Rhinolophus ferrumequinum: one gene and its partner. The protein of the gene in region 1 purifies or fractionates together with the protein of each later gene. This does not show direct contact. Links are inferred from orthologs where the notes say so. Each region holds a gene or a part of one and is shown on either strand. Other genes may lie near its edges. The genes, in order: ABCA1 and NR1H2.

Region 1 (11,780 bases):
CAAAATATAATTATGTGTAAACTTGTAATTATATGTAATTATATGTAAATTCTGGAGCGTACATGTCTATGTATATTTTTTCTGAAGGGATAATCCACAGCTTTCATCATATTCTCAAGGTAGTAAAAAAATCCTCTCCTAAATAACCACAGATTGGTTTTAGGTACATAAAATTCTTCCTAGGAAATGTCCCACACTATATACCAGTTATCCAGTTATCGTAAAACATCTTGACTTCAAGACTAACCAGAAAAAATGCTTTGACTTCCAAATACTTCTTGGAAGTCGGATTTAGCATAAAAAATGTTGCAGAGTTTTAAATAAACACACACACACACACACACACACACACACACAGAGAGAGAATGAATAAAATAGATCCTATGCATAAAAGGATTTTGGTTTTTAAAAACTATTTAAATTATAAATTACTGAATTATCTCATTCTTATTTAAAAAATAAATTAATGTGCAAATCAAAGTACTCTGAATGTGAAATGTCACCGACTATAGCATTTTTTCAAATTGCAGCTGCTTCAAAAAGAGAAATGAAACTGAATAGACTCAGAATTGTTTGTTCTCCAGAAAGTTAGCTGGTCAAGATAATTTAAGTACAGGCTAAAATTTCTCAATCATAAACCTAAACTTAAGTACAGTTATTTCTCATATAATTTTATTTCTAAAGCTTTTCTATGATTATTCCATCATTTTAGTTCAGCTTTTAGAATAGAGGAAACAAACAGTAGTTTCCCATTGTCTTTGACTTGCTCGAGTCAGCATTTATTGAACTCCTTGCATACCCCATATAAAGGGAGTTGAATTAAGGACTGGGGAGAGTGAATGGAAGATCTCCTCCTGGAGGAGGAGGTCTTTCCTTCCACTCAAAAGGAAGACAAATAAATGTTAACTATTTCCAAAAAAAACACAATTAAATACATGGCATGAATACTGTTGCAATCCAGTCTTATGGGAGTAAAAAAGAAGGGGATAATTAATTTTAACCCTGTGTTGGCAAGGAAGAGTTGAATCCACAAGTTTAGGAGAACGATGGCATTTCAATCAGGTCTTAAAATGGGTGTTCAAAATGTAAAAAGACAGAATTTCAAAGTTAATTTTTTTTTAGGATCCAAGTCTTCGTTCTTTGTTAAACGCTCTTTGCTTTAATATAGTTTATCATCTCAACAAAATGCAGCGTAACCAAAGGTTCTATCTGAAAGCAGTTTTATACACGAGATTTTCATTCTCTGGCTTCAAATATTTTTCATACGTACCTCTCTAACAATATCTATGCTGATTACCTATCCAGGGAACTATTTTTAGGTGAAAATAGACAAATGAAAAGGAAGAATAACTCCTTGCCTCGTGCTAGTATTTCAATTAGAAACCAAACTTGCGTGGATGCAAGCTCAGCTCCACTACTTACAAATCTATGATCACACTGCTCACAAACTCTATACCTCAGTTTCCCTGTCTATAAAAAGAAGATAATAACAGTCTGTACCTCATGTGGTCTTGTGAAAATGAACTGAATTATTACATGTAAAATGCTTAAAACAACATCCAGCATATAGTAAATCCATAATAAATGTAACTGTTTTACCAAGAAGAAATGTTTTCTAAGAGTTTATTTTTAATTTGCTACACCAATTTAATAAGAAAAAGTTTTCCATCCTATTTCACTTTTATAAAGCAGACTTTGAAATTGCTACTTATTTTCAGAGAAAAATGCCTAAAAAAGGCTAAATTTGCTTCCTAGACAGTAATGGCAATAACAGAGAAATAGCTCAAAAGGTCCAAAACATAGTTAGAGATAGAACAGGCAGGAATCGTATTGAATTATAGTCATTTTTTAAAAAATTCACCAAAGTTAGGACTGACAGACAGTTAAATAGCTAGCTCTCTTTCCTTTCTCTTTTGTTGCTTATATTTTTACTGCTAAATACTCTGTTATTCCATGTTCTTTGTATCACACAGGAAAACATTTTGAGATCATAGACCTACTCACAAATATTTGACTGAAGCAATAGTACTTTTTTCATTATAAATCAAGTAAAGAATTAGAGTTGAGTAAATCTTATTGTCTGTTCTTTCCATGGTGTTGCAATCCCTATGCAACCAATGTCCCAACAAGCAGAAGAGAATTTGGCTGGCCCACTCACAGCAATAAGGGAAATATGATACAGGCTGTTGATTCTGATAAGAATTTAGCAGATGCGTGTACCAAAACACAGTGTGAGCATCCTTGGAAAGTCCTCTGCTCCCAGCAACTGTAACTGTACCACCTCACGACTCAGTGTGGGAGTTCAAGAACTCTGGAGCTCACTGGCTAAGTTCAAATCTTAGCTCTGCCACTTGCAAGATGTATGGCCAGGGAGAAGTTAGTTAACCTCTCAGTTTCTTAATCTACAAAATAGGAATAATAAATGGGTTTGTTGCAAAGATTAAATTAGTATTTGAAAAACATTTGGAATAGTACTTGGCACATACTGCTATTTAATAGTCATTAAATAAACATTGTAATAACTTTGGCATTTATGATTATTTCCACATGCAGATACGAAGACAATCTCTGTTTTCAGTGTACATCCTCTGCCAGGAGAGTTAAATAAAACAAATTTTCAGAAAGATCTTTTAAAATCTGATGCTGGAGTAACTGACCACTAAGGAACATTATACTTGCATTATTTCTTTAGTACCCAGATAGTAAATAAAAATATATTTGGATTTAAGAGTATTTTAGAAATGCAAAAACCACATCTATTGGTATTTTCTAGATATCCAAAAGGTTCCTAATTAAAGAGTAAGGCAATGTCCATTTAATTATTTCAGGAGCTAAAAATTTAAATCACAAACATATTAACAATTGTGGTCACTACGAACATAGTATAAGCAACTTGTATTATGGAGGGGAAGATCCCTAAAACAAAAAAATTTAACTCAAAAAATATTCCAACTTCTCTATATATAAGTACTACAGAAGATAATAAAAAGCTGTGTTGCTGAGTTTCGTTTGGTTTCACTACTTTTTAATAATGTAAGCATTGAGACTTCCTAGAGCATTGGTTTAAACCAAGTCCCAATTACCGTTTTCCAGTCCTAGACTAATCATTGTCTCACATGAACTATCAATATGCCCAAGCCAAAATGTGTCCAGCATCCATCATAGGCCTCTATTTAGATATAAATCAAAATACTTGTAAGGGTTGAGATTTCAAATACTCATCTGGACAGGAGATGCACGTATCGTAGGTATCTCCTTCACAATCATATGTGATTCTGGAACACCAAGCTTGTCCTTGCAAAGGGGCTCGTCAATTACTCTGACTACAGTAGCAATTAATTCTTACCCTTACGTGGACCTTGGTCATCACGAAGTCTGGTCACGGTGATCCTACTGCATTTTCTCAAGTAGATACGAATTTGCTTTGTGTATCCAATGTATTCCGAACTCTATCATGAATTATTTTAATACTTTATAGAAGCATTTGGGAAACAGGCTGACAATGGGAACTTTGCACTTGAAAATTATTATACTATCTTAAGAGATTCTATTCTAGAACATTCTCCATGCTTTCCCACTTTCTTTGATTTGGGAGAAGTATCTCAAGAGAATGATATGAACTACAGAAAGCCTCCATTATTGTTGTGGTAGGTATGAGGAAAAGGGGCTGAAATAAAAGGGGAGATGAGAAATTAAGTACTTGCTGATTTTTTTGTCACCAAGGAAGTTTTTTTAAATATCAAAGTTGTCCTCTATTATATGAATGTATATACCACCCACTCACTTTGTGAGATGTCACTGAAAAGCCTTGGGTTTTAAAAGCTGATGGTATCAATGATGCCAAAGGGTCAATTATTTTAAGCGCCAGAAGCTTTTTCTTTCTCTTCTAGTCTCTCCTCCCCCCGCCCCGCTTTTTTTATCTTGTTTATTTCCTTTCTTCTAATAAGTGCTGAAAAAGAGGCACCTACAACACAACTCTGGCACTGGCCCACGCCCCAAGAACCTTCGGATTTAGCAACGGTCTGGGAGTCGAGATACATTCTAACAAAAAAAAACAGACCAGCTTTCGCCTAATTCCCCAGGTTTCCTTCTTCAAGAGATCTTGGTCTGAACTCGCGAGCGACAACGCCTTACAGAGCCCGGCCCCACGCCAGCCACAGGGCCGATTCCCAGGCCACCCGGCCAGGAGGCGCTGCGGGCCAGTCCCCCGGGGCCACGGGCAGCCGGCGCCCAGCCCCTCCCCACCCCCACTGTGGAGGCCAGCCCAGCCGCGAAGCTGAGTTCTGCACCGCCCGCCGGGGTTACTCTCGGTCATTCCGCTGCACCATCTCGCCCCAGCTTCTTTCTTCATCCGTGCCCTCCCTGAGGCTGCTCCAAGAGACAAGCACCAAAGGGCAGGAAGATGGGGGACGAGAGAATAGGCACCTCGGCTCTAGGATTCCGCAGGCTCTCCTTCTAAGTCTTCTGTTTTTCAAAGGAACAAAACTCGTCCCCCCGCCCCCACCCCACTGAGCCAGGTACACCAGCTCGGGTGAGCGCACGGAGACCATCCGCAGGACTTCCAAGTCAAACAAAGCCCCTGAGGCCTCAAGTGAGCAATAGCTACGGACCCCGTTTGGGACACCTCCCAGTCGAGTTCTTGGGGAACAAGAACGCCTACTCCAGTCCGGGGACGCACGGGGCCGATCACCAGGTCAGAGCCCAACTTAGAGCAGCTTCCCAAGAACGGAATAGGGACTAAGTGCTGGCATTCATCCCTATGGGCGCCGGCAGACCTGCAGCCAGAGGGGTTTCTAGCCAGCTCAGAAGCTTCCAAACAAAGGGAAGCACTCTGTGTGGGACCTGCCACGCTGCCCACTCCGGCAGCAGTGCCCCCAGCACGACCAGGAGCCCCCCCATCCCACTGCGCCCTAGGTATTGCGCCCGAGTCTCCACGCCCAGAGATGCTCCCTGAGCTCCACTGCAGGGCGAGTCCGGGACGCAGCAGCGCCGGGCCTTTGGGTGGCCGAAGCTCGTCCTAGGACGTTCTCCCTGCATTTACAGCACCCGCACCATTTGCGTTGCCAGAGACGGGGATGTGAGGGTTCGGACTAAACTCCCCGCAACCTAGCGCTTCCCAAAGACTCCTCGGCCCCAAAACAAAACAATAACGCCTAAGTCCCTGGAGAGCCTCTTACCTGTTTTCCACTTTTGTGTTTGCGTCTCTTTTCCCCACCCCTTGAAAAACCCTTCCAGAGAAGGGGGGAAAAATCCCAAAATAAAACCGGAAAAAAAGAAAGAAAAAAAAAAGGAGCAAAGCGCCCGGAGAAATTGGCTCTAGCGGCGCTGGTCCTGCGGCGCCTCCTGCCCTGCCCACCTGCGCCCGGGGAGAGAAGTGTGGACTCGGCTTGTCCCGGCCCCAGTCACTCTCCCTCGGAATTACCGGGCTTTTGCCGCGACTAGTTCCTTTTATAGATTCGGCTGTGCTGAGCGCAGGGGTTACTATCGGTCAAAGCCTGTTCGCTTTGCCTCCTTCCCCGCCCCCTTTCCCGGCCTCTGTTTTTGTAGTTCAGTCACTCAGCAGAAAGCACGTGGAGCCGCGCCCCGCCCCTTAAATGGGCGACGTCCCGCCGCTCCCCGCGGGACTGCGGGCGATGGGTGGAAAGCCGGGGGTGCTGCCGGCATCGCCACGTCCGGGGTCTGCGCCTCCTGTCCCCGCCCAGCCCTGGCCTCGTAGGATAAGAAGGCAACGCGGGGCTTGGGGCTGCGCGGGACACTGTCTCTCTCATCCACGTTCCGGGCAGCCAGCAGCATTAGTGGAAATCGCTTCCTCTCAACCCGTGCTGTTCAGCAACGTTTTTTCTTTGTTAGTTCACTCAGTCGTTGGGATTGGACGGAGAGAGAAAGTGAGGCTGAAAACCTGCCTGACGCCAACCATTTAGTCTTTCTTTCCTTTCAAAAGCCTAAGGTATGGGAGAAGGCGGACAGTCCTCTGGATAATTGGCTGTTTTTGTTTTCCTCCACAAACCCTGACTTTGGTATTCAATAGGCAAGCTATTGCCTTTGGGATTCCCAGCCTGGGAGGGCCAATGAAAAGCGTCTTGCTCCTCTTCTTAAACTGGGGTGAGGGGGAAGGAAGGACAAATAACGGAACCATGTGGACCAGCCCCCTTTTTATTTTCATTGCATTGGTCAGCATTCCAGTGATATATACACAGGGCTTGTATTTTGGCTTCTATAGATTAGCAAAGTGCAGCTAGAGAATCACAATCAAGTAAAATTATGTAACCATCCAGATAGATCTCCAATTTCTTCCTCTAACTTTGGCTTTGCCAATCAGAAGCAAGGCTGCTCATAACATTCAAGGGACAGCGGAAAGATTTCAAATGGGGGCCCACATACTTAAGTCTAAATATTGAAGTCATAAATCAAGCCAACAGACTGTAAAATAAATGTCTCCTACCTTGACAAAGATACCTTGGAAGCAACCCAGAAGGGCAAGTTCATGTTCAGACTCCTCATAGTTTGACCTTAGTTTTGGTGGAACGGGACAGGCTGCCCCCAGACCCTTTCTCTTCCCATCTTCAGCTCCATTATATTCCAGAAGAACCTCCACTGTGTGCACGTGGACCCCCAGCTGCACAAGCTCTCTTCATGGGAACCGTGAAGACCACAACTGGAACCCAGGTGCAAAAGCCACTGGTTGTGTCAACACTCCGGACAGACTCAGTGAGGAAGCCCATGCAGAGCCTGCAAAGTACACTTAGGAGCCTTAGGACAAGGAACTCTGGGGTCCCAGCACTCTGGTGTCCTGGCCCTGTGGACTGCTCATCCTTAGGAAGAGATAGAGTTGGAGGAGAGCCAGAGGCAAGCCTTCTGAAGCTCAGGTGCCAGGAGAGAGGTCCCTCTTGCCTGGGTCAAAGAACAAAGGGGTCAAATTTGAGTGAACCACATGATCCATAACTTTCTGCCTCCATGTTTTCATCTGGAAAATGGAGAAAATATATATTCTCTCCTTGCCTCACAGGAGTTATCTGAAAGTGAATTTTGTTTATTTTAAACTCCTTGAAAGAATGGCACTATAAACAAAGAGGGTGTTATTTGCTGACTATTAATGTCATTTTCAGATATCAGCCGTGGCCTATAAAGATTTTCCCATGGCAAACTTTTAAAACTTCAGGTCTAGCAAACAGTTAAAAGTAATATCTCTGGACCTCTAGAGATAAAGGAAAGCTCCTGGAGGAGGTGTTACCATTCCAAGTGTGATTTGGGGGAGTGATTAGGTCTCCCTGACTCTCTATTCCCTGCACCCCCACCCACCCACCTATCACAGTGCTTAAAATCCCACCACCAAAATTATTGTTTTTGGAATTTTAAAGGCTATGGTTCCCAAGAGCACCCCTACTAAACTAATCCCTTAGATTATTTTATTGGGAAAGGAGCGACAAGAAGTCTTCACAAATAACAAAAAGATAGGATGCTGGAGAAAGGAGTTGAGCCCAAGAAGATGAAAGCCCCAGAGAGAGGATAGCCATTGATTCTAAATACATAAATCAGTGGCCCCAAAGCCAAGCTTGATCATTTTTAGCTAAGAAAAACCAGTGGTGTCAAGAACCTGCTCACCCCTACAATGAATACATGTATATACTACAATGTTTGAAATCTGTTTATAGTCTCATTGATTTCTACCAATAAAAGCCCAAGAGGCTATGTGATTTGGCCAGGTGATGTAGGAACACAAGTCTGCTGACACCAAGCCCATACTTTGCCAGGGTGACAAAAATACTGAATTCTAAAAGTTAGAGCCTAAGAGAACGTGTCCCTTGAGGAAGTTTACAAGTGTGAATTCTCTCCCTTGAATGTCGTAGGTTGATTTTTTTTTCCTGAGTATGCTTTAGTGAGCTTTTCCCCAAGTTTTGCAATTCCTGCTAGTAACACCAACACCAAAACTCCAAATCTGCACCCTATGTGGCCCTCTCCAAATATGTAGGAAGGCCCTTCTTTGTTACTGTTGCTCTGGAGAATCTGATTCTGTAAATGTAGCCTGGGGAGCCTAAAGTTCTAGTCTGAAATGACCCTGGCATCTTCTAATCAGGGAATCACCCTTCAGGCAGCTGTGACCTTGGAGACCCTGCTAGAGATCGTGGAGCTACAGAGAAGCTCAATTTTATCATTCCATTGAGACTTTCAAATTATGGATTATCTAAAAGGCTTTCTTGGCGGTTGCTTTGATATATAGTATCTGTTAACTGGTCTACATAAATGTACATATACACATTTCTTAAAATATAAATGATTCCCATCACATACGTATTTTTGGTTGGTATGTATTGTGTTTTGTTCCTGAAAACTCTGAAAAAATAGAGTATTACACAAAGTCAATGAAGAATAAAAAGAAAATATTCTAAGAATAAGTTTTCAAGCTGAATTTGTTATAATTAAAAAGACCTAAAAGCTGGATTCTTTTTTGAGAATTCCACGGAAAATGAGAGGTGCCTCAAAAAAGAAAAAAAAAAGGTAATCCTTTCATATACGGAGGGAAAAAAAGGACCTGCAGTTCATATCTGAGTCAGTTTAATTCCAATACATGGTTAGACACACCAACAAATCGTCAAGCAATTGATGTTTAAATTTTTTTTTAAATGAGGAATCGCCATTATTTGTGGAGTAAACTATGTATTGCACATTGCACAGGCTCTCTGTACCTACGAATTCAGTTTAATTAGACCAATGCAATTCCCTTCTGTATTAATGTGACTGCTATTGACATTTAAGCAAGATTCAAAACCATTACTGTTCTTGGATTTGAGTAAGATCTGTTCTTTGTCACTGGGATCAACAAGTTAGCCTGGCTTATAGACAGATATGTGCCCCTGAATTACTAGTTGATCGATGAGTTATAATTCTTTCTTAAAAGCCATCCTTCCCACCTGCCTCCCTTCACACTCTCCTTCCCGTAAGAGCCAAACTGCTGGAAAGATTTCATCTCCCCTCCCTCCCTTTCATTCCCTCACCAGCCCATTACAGGCAAACTCTTGCCCCCGCCACTCTGTTCTGTCCAAATTCATTAGTGACCTCCTTAAAAAGAGATAGGCATGTGAGCTTTCTTTTTTATCAGTATATAAAACAAGACCATTAATTGGTACCGCTGATGACCTCCTTTTAGTCCTTAGGCTACCTGATCTCTGGTATCTGACACTATTGACCACACCTTCCTTCCTGAAACCAGTTCTTCTCTTGTATTGCGTGAATCCAGTTCTCTTATGCCTCTTCTGCCTCTTTCACGGCTCTTTTTCTGACTCCTCTTTCCTTATATATATTTCCCTTTATACTGGTTTTTCTCTGTCTATTTCTACATGCTCCACTCCCGTGGCTTCACTTAAACCCTGTGTCGCCAGCTCTTATCTCCTCCCTGAGCTCCTGGACTGTGTTCCCTAATTACGTAGAATACCCAGCAGGACCAGTGGGGTGCTGGAGTCAGCTCACTCCGGCTCAGAAGAGCTGACTGTGTATATCTCTTCCCACCTCTGCAGTAAGTGACTTCCATGGGGCTAGTTTAAAATCAGCCAATGGTAGGAATATTTACACCATTGGAAATCTGATACAAGTGGGGCTTTCTTTTATTTTTTTGGAAAGCCAGTTAACATTTACCAGCACACTGAACGAGACAGTCTGCCGATAAACCCCGGACCAATTTTTAATCTTCCCTTTATGTCTCTCCCCTCCAGCTGCATTTTATCATTTCACTTAATGACATCATCATCCACACATTGACTATGGGAAATCATAGTCACCCTTGCTTAACTTTTCATCTCTGTGTCCCCATCGTTTCCTTCTCATTCTAAAAAGCACCAATGTCGGGTCAGTCAAACATATCTCTTAAAGTTGCCCCTTCATCTCCACACCCACTGCTTAAGCCCAAGCCAAAGGTCTGTGCTTCTGTGTTGCAGTAACCTCCAAACTGCTGTTCCTGCCTTTAGTTTCTTCCCCTTCCTATTTATCTTCCCTAACACCATGGAGTAATTTTTGCTTTGGGGGGAGAAACCCTAAGCAAACCAACACAAAACCAAAAAATAGTCATATCTTTTCCCCCCCTCCCAAAACTGCCTATGGTTCTCCATTGCTTACAAAGAAAAAAATACCCTCAAAATTCCTTAAGAATACCTACAGACACCTTTGCAAACATGACATTTGCAGGCCTTTGGAGCCTCATTGTAGGCGCTGCTTCCTCTTTCATTCCCCCACTCCTATCTTATCTTTGCCCATTCCCCTGTCCGCAAACTTTCCATGTCTCTGCACATGCAGTTCCCATTGCTTGGAAATCGTCATCTCCACCCCTCTCTTCCTGTGTAAGATTACACACTGAAAGAGATGGATGGGATTAAATAACAAATCCATGTGCTTCTACTCTAGAAGCAGGAGGCAAAAGGGACAGAGAAGAAAAGGAAGGAAAAGGATATAGAAACCACTTCCCTCATTAAATAGAAAGTATGGGACATAGGGTAGGGGAGAGAGACAGAAAGAGAGGGAGGAAGGGAGGGAGGGGAGTATAAAGGAGGGAGAGAGAGAGGGAATTATTACAGATAGATATTGTTGTAAGTACTGAAATTAATAGGCCAATAATACCCTCAGCTCAGATCCATTAGTAAGTGTAGCAATAGATTCAGAGGGGAAACACTGCCCTTAAGTTTGAAAAGAAAATAATTAGACTCTGTGGATTAAAAGAAATCAAGCATTTATTGTAACAGAAATGATGTGTCTACATTCTTCTCTCCTTATTCAAAGTGCTTTTTTGATACTTATTAAGAATCCATATTCCTGGCCATGATTTCTGGGATGAGGGACTGTTTTATTTCTTAGCCAGGAGCTTTCTTTCTCTCTGACATATTAATAAGAGAATTAAGTCATTAAAAAAAAAAAAAAAGAAATCCTAAAAAATGTTCCAGATTTCCCTTTTCTCTTAGGCCCCTAGAAAGGCAAGCCTCTCTTTTTCTCCTTCAGTATTTTGGGAAGGATTCCTGCAGAAGTACATGGTCTTCCCTTTATTATCCTCCCCCTCTCCAGTGGTCTTGTGGTGGTTTGATCTGGCCTTGTACAGTACCCTTCTACCCTTCTGCAATTGTCTAGACAGAATGCATGTTTTTACCTCCTCAAGGACTAACTGTCCAGATGTGCTGTGACCATGTCATGGGAGCAGGCCTTTATTTCCCTTCCTTGTTGCCATGCTTCTGGTAACTGATGTTGTCCAATGAAATCTGAGCTATTTCTTAGCTGGTTACATGGCCCAGAAAATCACACGCACAGAATCACCCACAAGGATGTAAATTAGTGGAGAATGGGCTCCATTCCTAGAGGGCTGGGGTTTCCCACGGAGCTGACCCTAAAGCTGGTTTTCTCTTGATGGACTCCATTACCCAGCAGAGTTTGGTAGGAAGTCCACACATCTGTCTACTTATGGTTGGGGTTGGGCAGCCCTGGACACACTACTAGAATGAGAAAAGAAAGCTAAATTGAGGGTCTAGTCCTAAGGCATCTAAGGAAATAAAATCAAAGAGAAGGAAATGAAGATCATAAAAACAAAGGGTGTTGGTAGCATGTGAATTGGCCCGACATTCTGACAGACAACTCAGCAATGTGTATTAAGAGCCTTTGATCCACTAATTTTACATGAAGGAATTTATCCTAAGGAAATATCCAAATACATGGTCAAAGACTTATGTTCAAAATGTGTGTCACTATGTTATCTGCACGAGTGAACACTTTATAAATACTTCATCACCTAGCAGCATGAGAATTTTAAA
Region 2 (11,780 bases), on another chromosome or scaffold:
CATCCCGTTCATCTCGGACTCAGTCTGGCTCAGGGCAGGTTTCTATTCATATTTTATTTTCCTGTTTTTGTCTTGTTTTTTCTTAAGTTTTTATTAAATAAAAAGAGCAGAGGGAGAGGGGGGCCTGTGGTCTCTCGGCTGTGGGGTAGTGCCATGGGCCCTCCCCTCCCTCTGTTCAAGGTGCACTGCGCAGTGGGCTTGAGGTGTAAGCTGGGCAGGGAGGGCAGCTGGGAGTGCTTGGCGAGGTCAAAGGTTGGGACCTGTGACCCATCCACACCTCCCAGGAAGACTTGGTGGGCAAGAAGCCTCCTAGACCCTGACTGGGGCTTATCCTGAGGGCGAAGGGCTGGCGGGGCCAGGGCCTGTGCTCTAAGCCAGAAGGTGGGACCCCAGGTCTGGCCCCTTCCCACCCAGGAGAAAGAAGGGGTGACCATGTCCGTTCATTGGAGGGTGCAGGGCTGTGGGGCAGAATGGCCAGGCCCCTCACTCATGGACGTCCCAGATCTCAGACAGCAGAGGTGGCAGCTTCTTGTCCTGGAGCCGCAGGGCAAAGACCTGCTCCGAGTGCACAGAGCTCAGCGTGCGCAGGCTCACGAGCTTCATCAGCATGCGAGGGAAGCGCAGCTGGTCCTGCAGGGGACAGGAGGGAGGTGGGCGTTGGCCGGGCCCTGCCCTGTGAGGCTCTGGTCAGCCCTCTCCGGGGTGAGCCAGGAGAGCCAGTGGGGGGAGCGGCTGGCCAGAGCATGGGGACCTGCACCCAGCTCCTTTTGAAGGGCCAGGTGCCTGAAGACAGGCTCTGCTGAGAGGACATCCGTCAGACCTGAGTGCTGCCAGGGAGCAGGGGTCGGGGTTGGACAGAGTCAGGTTCAGACAAAAGCAAGACGCCAGCCCCAGGCTGACCCCAGGAGGGGCTGGGCTCGGGTACCTGCGGCCTCTTGATGCGCGTGTAGGAGAGCAGTGCCTCCACGTAGGGCTGCTGCAGGGCCTCCACACGGCTCGGCTCCTGCACGTTGGGACGGTCGGCAGAGAAGATGTTGATGGCAATGAGGAGGGCGTACTCGGCGTCGTCCAGGCCCAGCCGCCGCATGGCCCGCGAGAACTCAAAGATGGGATTGATGAACTCCACCTGCAAGCCTGGGGGTGGGCGGCCTGCCTGATAAACTCGCCAGCTCAAAACCGGCCCCCACCCGGTCCCTGACAATGCCCGCTATCAGCGGAGTGAGGGAAACGGCAGCCATTATAGTGTTCTCACTTCTGTTCACCTGTGTTCCCACTGCCTGTCGGAGTGCCTGACATGAAGTAGGTGTGCCATAAATCTTGCCTGAGTGAGGGGATGAGTAATGACAGCAAACATTTATTCAACCTTATCTCTGTGCTCTAGCTGCCTGGGTCTCCTTGCGTTCGGTAACACTGTCCCGTTCTTCACAACCTCAGGGCCTTTGCACATGCAGATCCCCAGTGGCCAATGCTACTCCCCACCTCCCTTTTCCTAGGTGATGCCTCTCACCCCTCAGGCCGCAGAAGCCCACCACCCAGGTCACATCCCCAGGCAAGTGCTTTTGGAGGGCAGAGATTAGAGCTGCCCCGTACAGTTGGGTAGGCTGTCTACTGCACAATGGACTGAGATCCAGCCTCCCTTGGGTGAGATCAGGTTGTGGGAGGAGAGAGTGTCTCTTCTTAATTCCTACCAGGATGTCCTACGTGCTAGCAGAGACCCCTGTCTCATCCTGCACTGTGTCCCACCATGCAGTCGGTGCTCAATAAACGTGCTCTTATTTCACTGCAAAACTCACTCAACTCTCACCCCACTTTGGAGACGATGAAACAGAAGCTCAGACAGGACTGAGACAACCCAATGTTTCCCAGGCAGCCGGGCCCGTCAGGGTGCCAGTCCTGCCTCCACCCCCGAGCCTGCCGGGCCATACCCGCTCGGTGAAAGTCGTCCTTGCTGTAGGTAAAGTCCTTCAGGAAAGTGATGCACTCTGTCTCGTGGTTGTAGCGTCTGGCCGTCTCCAGCAACATGATCTGAAGGCAGCAGGGAGAGGGGTGGGCAGAAGCAGGGGCGCAGGGAATCCCTGCCCCCCATTCTCTCAGCACGCCAGCCTACAGTCTGCAGGTTGGACAGCACACTCTCTCTCTCCTCCAGCTTCAGCACACACAGCTCCCTCCACTTGGGACACTCTCCCCAGGTGGTTACGAGGCACAGGGGCAGTATTTTTGCCTGTTTTGTTCTCTGTCATGTGCCCAGCACTTGGAGTATAGCCTGGCACACACTAGTCACTCAAACCTTATTTATTACCAATGTTTTAGTTTAAATGTCAACTCCTCTAAAGAGCCTTTTTGTCACGTTCTCTAAACTGTGTCTCTTCAGCCCAATTCTCAGTTATTCTCAGCCTCAGCCCGTTTCTTTTCTCTCTCTGGCCCTTTGGAGACTCTGATTATCTTGTTTAGTATTTTGACAGGCCCCCGGAGAATATCATCCCCATAAGGGCAAGGTCTGGAGAGGCCTTGCTCATCACTGTGCTACCAGCATCCATCCTCAGGCTCATTCCTGGGGTTCCTTGAGGGCAGAAAGGAAGAGGCTTGCTGAGGGTGGGTGGCCTGGCCATTACCTCAATGGTAGATGCCTTCAGGAGCGCAATCTGGTCCTCACGGCCCAGCTGTAGGAAGCCGGGCACCTGCTTGGCGAAGTCCACAATCTCCTGGACCGAGATGATGGCCAGCTCCGTGAAGTGGGCGAAACGCTGTTGGCGGGCATCGCGGGACTGGGGATCTGCGCCCAGGGGCCAAGGCTAGGACATAGGGGTCCAGGATCACTCTCAGGACTCCTCCCATAAGCCCAAGGCCATGGGGGCACAGTGAGGCAAAGCCTGCACCCCAAAAGACCCTCCTCTCCAAGCCCCTGCCCTCTGGAGCCCCATTCCCTCCCCATCCCAGGCCCATAACCCCCTCACGGCCGAGGAAGGGGCAGTACCGTGACTTTGGGCTGATCAGAGAAGGAGCGTTTGTTGCACTGTAGCTGGGCTGCCACCAACTGCTGGATCATTAGTTCCTGAGCAGCTGTTAACTGGACACCCTCGCCTTCCCCTGAGCCCTGGCCACCCCCGTCAGACCCTCCAGGGGAGGCCCCAGGCCCAGAGGCTGAGCTGCTGCTGACCCCCGGCCCTACGGGTTGCTGCTGCTGCTGTTGCTGTTGCTTCCGAATCTTCTTCTTCCGGATCTGTTCTTCAGAGAGGACGCCTGTTGGGGAGACACAGGCCTCAGCAGAGGCCCGAGAGCTGGGCAAGGCCAGGGTGGAACTGCTCCCTCCCTGACACTCACACTGCTCCCTCATCCCGGCCTCCTTGCACTTGCGCAGCCGGCACTGCTGGCACTTGCGTCGCATGAAGGCGTCCATCTGGCAGGTTCCACCACCACGGCAGGTGTAGCGCCCGGCCCCACCTCGGACCACACTGCGTCGGAAGAAGCCCTTGCAGCCTTCGCAGCTGAGCACATTGTAGTGGAAGCCAGACGCCTTGTCCCCGCACACCCGGCACAGCTCGTGGCCCAGCATCTTTGGAGCCGGGCCCTTCTTTCGCTTGCGCTCTGGCTCCTCTGCTGGGTCTGGGATGACTGGAGTGGGTGGAAAAAAGCCATGAGACAGAGCCACGGAAAGAAACAGCAGCCAGAGAACAGGCCCGTGAGAGATCAGAGACAAGGAGCCAGAGTACAGAGGGTGACCCAGGGAGATAGCAATTCAGAGGGAAAGATGTGTATGTCAGTGAACTCCAAAGAGGAACAGGAGAAAAGAAGTTAACAAGAAACCGGGGCCGCCGGTCCTCATTTCTGATCTTTCTCCCTTCCTGGATCCTCCCCCAGCCCCGCATACCCACTCCCAGCCCATCTCTGGACCCCGTCTCACCCACGCTGCAGGCTGAGCCGGCCCCATCAGTGCCTGGGACATCAGGATCTGGACCCCCAGGCCACGGCTCAGGACGCTCCTCCTTTACAACGGGTTTAGAAGAGGGGGCGCTGGGCTGAGGGGGGACATTTCCTGGGAGAGGGAGTCACAGTGAGTTTCTCCTGACAAGTGTGTGATGGTGCGGTGGACTGAGCTGGGAAGGGCTCACTCACCTGGCAAGGGGGTATCCTGGGAACTTGTGGTGGGGGTGGACATGGTGGGGGTCACGGAGCAGCCTGCAAAATACAATGGGTCTGAGAGTCTGTGGGGCTAGGGAAGTTCAGGTGAGGTCAGCCACAGGTCTTGAAGGGGTCACCTGTTTCTTCCATCTCTCTCAGGCTCCTTCCTTACTGCATATAGACCTCACCCCAAACCCCTGCCAGTCTACAAAGGCTTCCAATTCTAAAAGGGTCCCCCCCCAACTTCTGATCCAAAACAACCTTTTGCATGACCTCAAACCCCGCCCCTCCTTTAAGTTGTGTCTGATCCAGATACCTTCCACAGGCTCTTTCAAGGTACTGCCCCTTCTGCTTCAGTCTGGCTCCACCCTTACTTCCTCCTTTCCACTGTTTCATCCCACCTACTCTTACTACATCCCACCTCTACGCGAAAGCAAACCTATTATAACTCATTTTGACCCCACCTCCTACTATTATGCTCCGCCCCCATCTTCTCCACCTAGGCTCCGACCAATCCCTTCCACGTTCCACTCTGACTCCTCCCACAATGCGCTTCCCCATCACTTTGCTCTGCTCCATCAGCACCTCTCCCCTCCAGGTCCCGCCCCATCTCCTCCCATTATGCCCCGCCTCCACCTCCTCCCACCATGCTCCGCCCCCACACCTCGCTCCAGGTCCCGCCCCTCTCCGAACACCAGTGGGGGGCGGGGCTCATGGCTGCGCGCGAGGGTCTCGTGGGCAGTCTCTCGCGGGGTCTCCTCCCGTTTCCCTGGAAACAGTCGGGGGAGACGCGAGCTATGGAGGGGAGGGAGAAGAAGGAGAGAAGGGGCTCAGCGGAGCAGCGCGGGGAACTCCGAGAGGCTCCGGGCCGGGCTCCTCCCGCGTCTCCTCACACTCGGGTGCACCTGCCTCCGTCCCCTTGCTCTGCTTCTCCTCCTTCTCCTCTGTATCCCCTGGCACGCTGCCGCCGCTCGGGTCCCCTCAAAAGTAACTTCGCCACTTCTTCCGGCAACCCCACTGTGCGTCACTTCCTGAAAGGGGCGGAGATTCAGGGGTGACAGACTTCCGGTCCGCCTAGGACTAACCTAGTCGGCTGCCCCGCACGGAAGTCGTATACCCGCCGGAAGTTTATCATTGGGTGTAGCTCCCTTGGGGGCCTGCAGAAGAATTCCGGACTCATTCGCCCTATCGTGGCCAGATCCAAACTTTCCCTCCTGGCACTATGTGTTTTTATGGGCTCCCAGCAAGATTTATTTGGCATAAGTCTCCCCAGCTATAGTTCCTTTTCGCATTGGGCTGATTGAAAGCACGTTTGTCCTTTTTTGATTGTTAGGAGATTTCTGATTTTGGAGGTGCTCTACTTGTTAGTTTTAAATAAGTTAAATTGCAAACCTAGACCCAGAATAAAAATATTTTAAAAATAACTTGGTAATAGGAAGAATTTCTTTTTAAAGCGTAGCCTTACCAAAAAGATGCAACTAATAGCTTTTAAAAAATACTTTTTAAAAAATGTGTTTAAGTATTTTTTTCCAGGACCCATGAGCTCCAAGTCTTGTAGTTGTTTCAATCTGGTTGTGGAGGACGCAGCTCACAGTGGCCCATGTGGGGATTGAACCGGCAACCTTGTTAAGAGCACTGTGCTCTAACCAAGTGAGCTAACCAGCCACCCCAAGTAAGAGCTTTTAAAGAAAACTCAGAATACTTATATGGGTAGAAGATGGAAATTGTTCCAAAGTCTTGATGATGATAATCAGATTATAGCGAGCATATACACATTGTTTTAAAATGGGAATACAATATATGATCCATGCTTTTTGTAGCTTGTTTTGTCCATTCAGGCATGGCCTTGAAGCTGTGGAATTTCCAGCTGAGGGTGTTACCAATAAAAACGAGTGGTTAACGTGGGCATGGGGGGGATGGCTGAACCAGGGGCTCTGCTACTTTCTCGCTGTGTGATGTTGAGCCAAGCTATTTACCCTCCCCATGCCTCAGTTTCTTCATCTGTAAATTGGGAACAACAATTCATTGCATTGTCATTATAATTAAATGAAGTAAAAACTATGAACTGGGCCAGGCTCAAACAAGGAACCCAACATGTGGAAGCTATGTTTATTCCTGCAGATGTTCAAGTTGTTTTTAACTTTGTTAGAACAGTGCAAAAGGCTGAAATAGACTGAAGATGAATTGCAACAGTTTGGGGGCAAGTCATGTCACTCTCAGCCTCAATTACCTACCTGTAAAATGGGGGAAAATATTTGAATTTCTTATCAAAGGTGCGAAGATTCAGGAAGAGCAGTACCTGGCATATCTAAGCATCCAGTCAGTTTTGTTATCTGAACCTAATTGCAGACCACTGTTCTCATTTATAACTCACCTAATAACCCTATTTTTTAGTAACAGCTTTACTGACATAAAATTCACATACCCATACAATTCACCCATTTTCAATGTACAATTCAATAGGTTTTAGTATATTCATGGAATTGTTGCAACCAACACCACAATTTATAACACTTTTGTCACCACCCCAAAAAAGAAGCCCCATGCCCACTAACAGTCACCCTCACTTATCCCATCATCTGAGTCCTAGGCAACCATTAATCTACTTTCTGTCTGTATGGGTTTGCCTATTCTGGACATTTCCTATAAATGGAATCTTAGACTATATGTCCTTCAGTGTCTGGCTTCTTTCACTTAGCATGATGTTTTCAAGGTTCATCTACATTGTAGGATGTATTAGTACTTCATTTCTGTTGTGGCTGAATGCTATTCTATTGTGTGGATAGACCATATTTTATTAATTCATCAGTTGATGGACATTTGGGTTATTTCTATTCTTGCCTAAAGTGTTGCTATGAACATTCAAACACGAGTTTTTGTGTAGTTATCTGTTTCCATTTCTCTTGGGTATATACCTAGGAGTTGAATTGCTGGGTCATATGGTCACTCCATGTTTAACTTTTTGAGGAATGGCCAGACTGCACACATCATTTTACATTCTCACCAGCAATATGCAAGGATTTCAACTTCTCTACATCCTTACCAACACTTGTTATTATCTGCATTTTTAAAAAATTTATTGGGGTGACAATTGTTAGTAAAATTACATAGATTTCAGGTGTACAATTTTGTATTACATCATCTATAAATCCCATAGTGTGTTCACCACCCAGAGTCAGTTCTCCTTCCATCACCATATATTTGATCCCCCTTACCCTCATCTCCCACCCCCCAATCCCCTTACCCTCTGGTAACCACTAAACTATTGTCTGTGTCTATGAGTTTTTATTTCTAATTTGTTTGTCTTGTCCTTTTGTTGTTTTTGGTTTATATATCACATATCAGTGAAATCATATGGTTCTCTGCTTTTTCTGTCTGACTTATTTCACTGCATTTTTTATTATAGCTATTCTAGTGGGTGCAAAGCGATATTTCATTGTGGTTTTAATTTGCATTCTGATACCCAATTCTATTTCTTTTAATCATAAATAATTTGTAACATGTAATTCTGCTTTTACTATTCTGAAGTGAAATACAGAGATGATACAGCTGAACTATGACCCCAACAACAAAATAGCATCTTACTTCACCAACTGCAATACAAAAGATGAAAAATAGAAGCTAACTTGTAATAAAATCATATGTGCTTCAACATAGGTACATGAAAGACACAATATGGCAGCTAGCTCTTACTTCAAAATATAGAATTACTGTGAATTTGAAAGCTACAGTGCAGTCTGACACAGGACTGTTGTATGAACTCATATGCCTTAGACAGCATGGGTGATGTGATGTTTTCCAAAATTGTGGCAAAGTCTTAATATAAGTTATCAGTAAGATTGGGCAGGAATAATTTAGGCATATTTAAAAAGCAACAAGGAAGTTAGGGTGGCTAGAGTGGAGAGGGGTCAGGGGAGAGTGCTAGATAAGATCATAGAGGGAGCACGGTTAGATAATGAGGTCTTGTGGGCCACACTTGTCCAACACCGGCTAAGCATTCACAAAAAACGGTCCCTTTCCCTTGGTGACACAAATGACTACATTTCCCAGCATCCCTTGCAGCTACATGCCATTCTGGCCAATGGAAGGAGAGCAAAAGCAATAGATCACCGCGAGGGAAAGCAAGGCATCTGGGCTGATTCCAAGGTGTTTGGAACCTCAAGACCGGGGTTCAACTTCCCACTGAGTACACCAGGGCTGTTCCTTCCCCCAACCTCACACCTCAGTTTCCCCCTTCTATAAAATGTGGACAATAATTCCTCTTTTATAAGGTTGCTAGGCAATTAAATAAAATGGTGGACTGAAAAATCTAGTAATCTTTATCCAGTCGTGAGATTGTGCTGAATGAATTTGGAGACCCAAAAAGCAGTCAGGCGTGAGCCTTAGGTTGAGGGCCTTTTAGTCTGATGGTGGAAGTGGACCTGGTCACAAACCACTTTGTGACAAAATAGTGACGATTGGGTCCCATTTGCTGATTGTATTTAGAAGACATCTCCCAGCCTCCTTGGGCAGGTGGCAGTCAGGCAGGAAGCATTTACTTGGCTTCTCTTCCCATGGAGTCAGTATTCTGGTCAGTGGGAACCTCAGGGGCAAAAGCAGGGAGGCTTGAAATGTGTTCCAGGATTTCAGCTCAAGAAACTGGGGAGGTAAAGTTTAAAAGTGAAATATTAACAGGAAAAATTGCTACCCTGGAGAAGGTGCTTAAAAAGTACTTGTTGGATGTCAGGAAATTAAGTTGAACTAAGAGACTGGTTCTTCATGGTTACAAGAAAGCTCACCAAATATTATTGCCAATGGAAAAACGTTGTGCGTAGCGTCAACCATTTTCATAGCGTCTATACTAATTTTTTAAGATTTTCAGGAAGTGTATATTGAAATTTCTGTGAAAAAACAAATGTAACTATTATCAGAATTCATGTAAAACAGGCTGATCAGAAAATATTTTCTCCATACTAAATAGCGGATAATCACAAACCTTTACATTTACATCTGTTAGGACCATGGTTCATAAAGTTTGAATAAGTCATAAACTAGGACTCCGAAAAAGAAACTCATATGGAGAGTCGGGAAAGAACAGATATTGACTGGGAAACTAGGCCCACACCACCACCGTGTGGCCATTTTGGAATTTGCAGGCTGGGTCTGGATGATGCAGAATCCGGTGCGGAGATTCTGAGGAGTCAAGACTGAGGATTCGAACTGTTGAGACAGAGGAGGGGGAGTTGTAGTGAGAGTTACTGTAGAGAAACTGACTCTCCATCTGCTGTGTCAGGAAAATCCCCCAGAGCAATGGGTGCTCACGGTGGGTTATTAAAAGTATTTATTATTTGCTAGATGCCAGGCACTGTCCTAGGTGCTGGAGAGATAGTGGCAAATGAAACACACGAAGACGCCTGCCCTCGAGGAGATTACATTCTAATGGGGAAAGGTAATAATTGCCGGTATACACAGTATCACTGATTCCAACATGCGCGTGGCTTACAACTGATGACATCTTATAGTTAATGAAATGTTAAAAAGTGTTGAGTCTATGAAAAAAATAGATCAGGGTAAAGGAGATTGGAAATTCTGGGGGGAAATAGTTGTCATGTTTTCGATAGGGTGGTCACGGTAGACTTCTCTAAGAAGGTGATATTTAAGCAAAGATTTGAAGGAAGAGAGGGAGAAAGTAAGGTTTTCTGGAGGGAAAACACTCAGGCAGAACAGCCCGTGCAAAGACCCTGAGGCAGGAGCAAGTCTGGAGTGTTTCAGGAACTGCAAGGAGGACAATGTGTCCAGATTGGAGTGAGCAAGGTGGATAGGGAAAAAATGAAGTCAGAGAGGGAATGATGCCAAATCACATGAGCCTTTCAATTCTGTAATGCCATTGGTACCTCTGATTCTTTGATCTACCCATTTTTCTCAATTTCCTTCACCTCCTGTCACGTCCTCTCTTCCTTCTTTAGAAGCATAGATTCTATGGTCAACCATGATAATCGCGTCCTTGCACACATAATGTTAACTCCCTTGCTCTTTCTCCCTCAATCATACTTTCCTGGCAAAACCCCAACCCTGGTTAAAATGAACTCAGCCTTCTCTGTGCCTGCCTGCTCTCACCCAGCAGAGGTTGTGAGTGGACACACTTCAGATGTGTGAGTGCAAAATTTGAGTGGACACTCAGAACCAATCCACAGTTTTCTTCTTCAGTCTAAGAAATCATTTTCTCACTTTCTCTCTCTAAACCTCCTCCAAACCCCTCTTCATTCTCATTTCTTCTTTTGCTGAAAAAAATAAAAGCAATTAGAAAGACACTTCTCTATGCTTACCCCAGGGATACGACTAGCCCACCTGCAGAGGGATACATCCACTGCTGCCCCTCCCATGTTTGGACAATCTGAAGGAGGCCAACCCCTCCACTTACTTCTCTCCCTACTCAAAACTTCCCTCTTGCAGTACTTCCTTCTCTTTCTTGCATCATTATTTGCACAACCTGTGACCCTTTGTTCCCTTAGGATTCCCCTTTACTGAATGCCCTTTACAGTTCCTCACGGTGCTGCTGAGGATGCTTCCTGAAACTTGTGGGTTTTAGACCTGTCCCTCTGCCTGGGCCCTCCCCCCTTGTAACTCCATCCTTGAAGATCCCTTTCCTCCTGCATCCCCCAAGGGACTTTCTTGTTACAGCATCTTAAAAGAAACTGAAGTTCAAGAGTTGGGGCTCCAACCATCTGGAAAGCAGATCCTCCAGCCTTAATGAAGCCTTTGGATATCGGCAGCCTCAGCTGACATCGATCTGCAGCCCCACGAGCCACAAGTGCAGGGCCACGCTGCTTTCAAGTTTCTAACACAGAGAGACCACAAAAAATAACAAGTGATTATTTCTGTGATAAGCCACTCAGTTTTGGGGTGATTTGTTACTAGTACTAGCTGACTAGTACACCCTCCCAAGACTGCTTATCTCTAGGTCTTTCCAATCCTTGTAAATGAGAATAGCATTTACATAGTTGTAATAATGTAAACACTTTTTTTTCTGGCAACTATCTCTATATTTATTTTTTAAGTTTTTTGGTGGTAAAACTTACCTAAATTGCGAGATCTTAAATGTACAGCTCAGTGATTTTTTACTGATATATCCACCCAAATAACCACCACTCAGATTGAGGTACAGAAGTTCTTCAGTGCTCGTGAAGACTCCCTGGTGTCCCCTTCTAGTTAATACCCTACCCAAAGGATGACCACAATTCCAACTTCTGTAACTATAGGTTTGCTTTGCTTGTTCTTGAACTTAGTATGAATGGAATCATACAGTGTTTTAGTCTGTTTGGGCTGCTATAAGAAAATATGACAGGCTGGGCAGCTTATAAATAATAGAAGTTTACTTCTCACGGTTTCAGGAGCTTGGAAGTCCAAGATCAAGACGCTGGCCAATTAGGTGTCTGGTGAGAGCCTGCTTCTTGGTTAATAGATGGCCGTCTGCACTGTGTCTTTACATGGAGGAAAGGGTGAGGGGGTTCTTTGGGGTCAATTTTATAAGGGCACGAATCCCATTCATGAGGGCTCCACCTTCATGATCAATCACCTCTCAAAGGCTCCACCTCCAAATACCATCACACTGGGGAACGGGTTCCAACATATGAATGGGGAGGTGGGCGGAAGGACACAAATATTCAGTCCATAGCAACAGT

The links.
Region 2: the proteins of ABCA1 (region 1) and NR1H2 purify together in Homo sapiens (affinity purification with western blotting; 3 studies listed by BioGRID and IntAct, with this or other methods). This does not show direct contact. The link is inferred for Rhinolophus ferrumequinum from reciprocal best matches to the Homo sapiens genes ABCA1 and NR1H2.

What each region holds. Positions count from the first base shown.
Region 1 is NC_046295.1:59,053,932-59,065,711, forward strand, and holds the start of ABCA1 (phospholipid-transporting ATPase ABCA1), read right to left. Parts: upstream 5,376-11,780; 5' UTR 5,357-5,375; intron 5,309-5,356; exon of another isoform or gene 5,178-5,308; intron 1-5,177. UniProt on the Homo sapiens protein: Catalyzes the translocation of specific phospholipids from the cytoplasmic to the extracellular/lumenal leaflet of membrane coupled to the hydrolysis of ATP.
Region 2 is NC_046298.1:45,212,123-45,223,902, reverse strand, and holds NR1H2 (oxysterols receptor LXR-beta), read right to left. Parts: upstream 5,157-11,780; 5' UTR 5,029-5,156; exon of another isoform or gene 5,013-5,028; intron 4,915-5,012; 5' UTR 4,784-4,914; intron 4,177-4,783; 5' UTR 4,157-4,176; coding exon 4,114-4,156; intron 4,034-4,113; coding exon 3,902-4,033; intron 3,613-3,901; coding exon 3,322-3,612; intron 3,241-3,321; coding exon 2,975-3,240; intron 2,793-2,974; coding exon 2,613-2,792; intron 2,026-2,612; coding exon 1,926-2,025; intron 1,135-1,925; coding exon 926-1,134; intron 631-925; coding exon 484-630; 3' UTR 49-483; downstream 1-48. UniProt on the Homo sapiens protein: Nuclear receptor that exhibits a ligand-dependent transcriptional activation activity. Binds preferentially to double-stranded oligonucleotide direct repeats having the consensus half-site sequence 5'-AGGTCA-3' and 4-nt spacing (DR-4).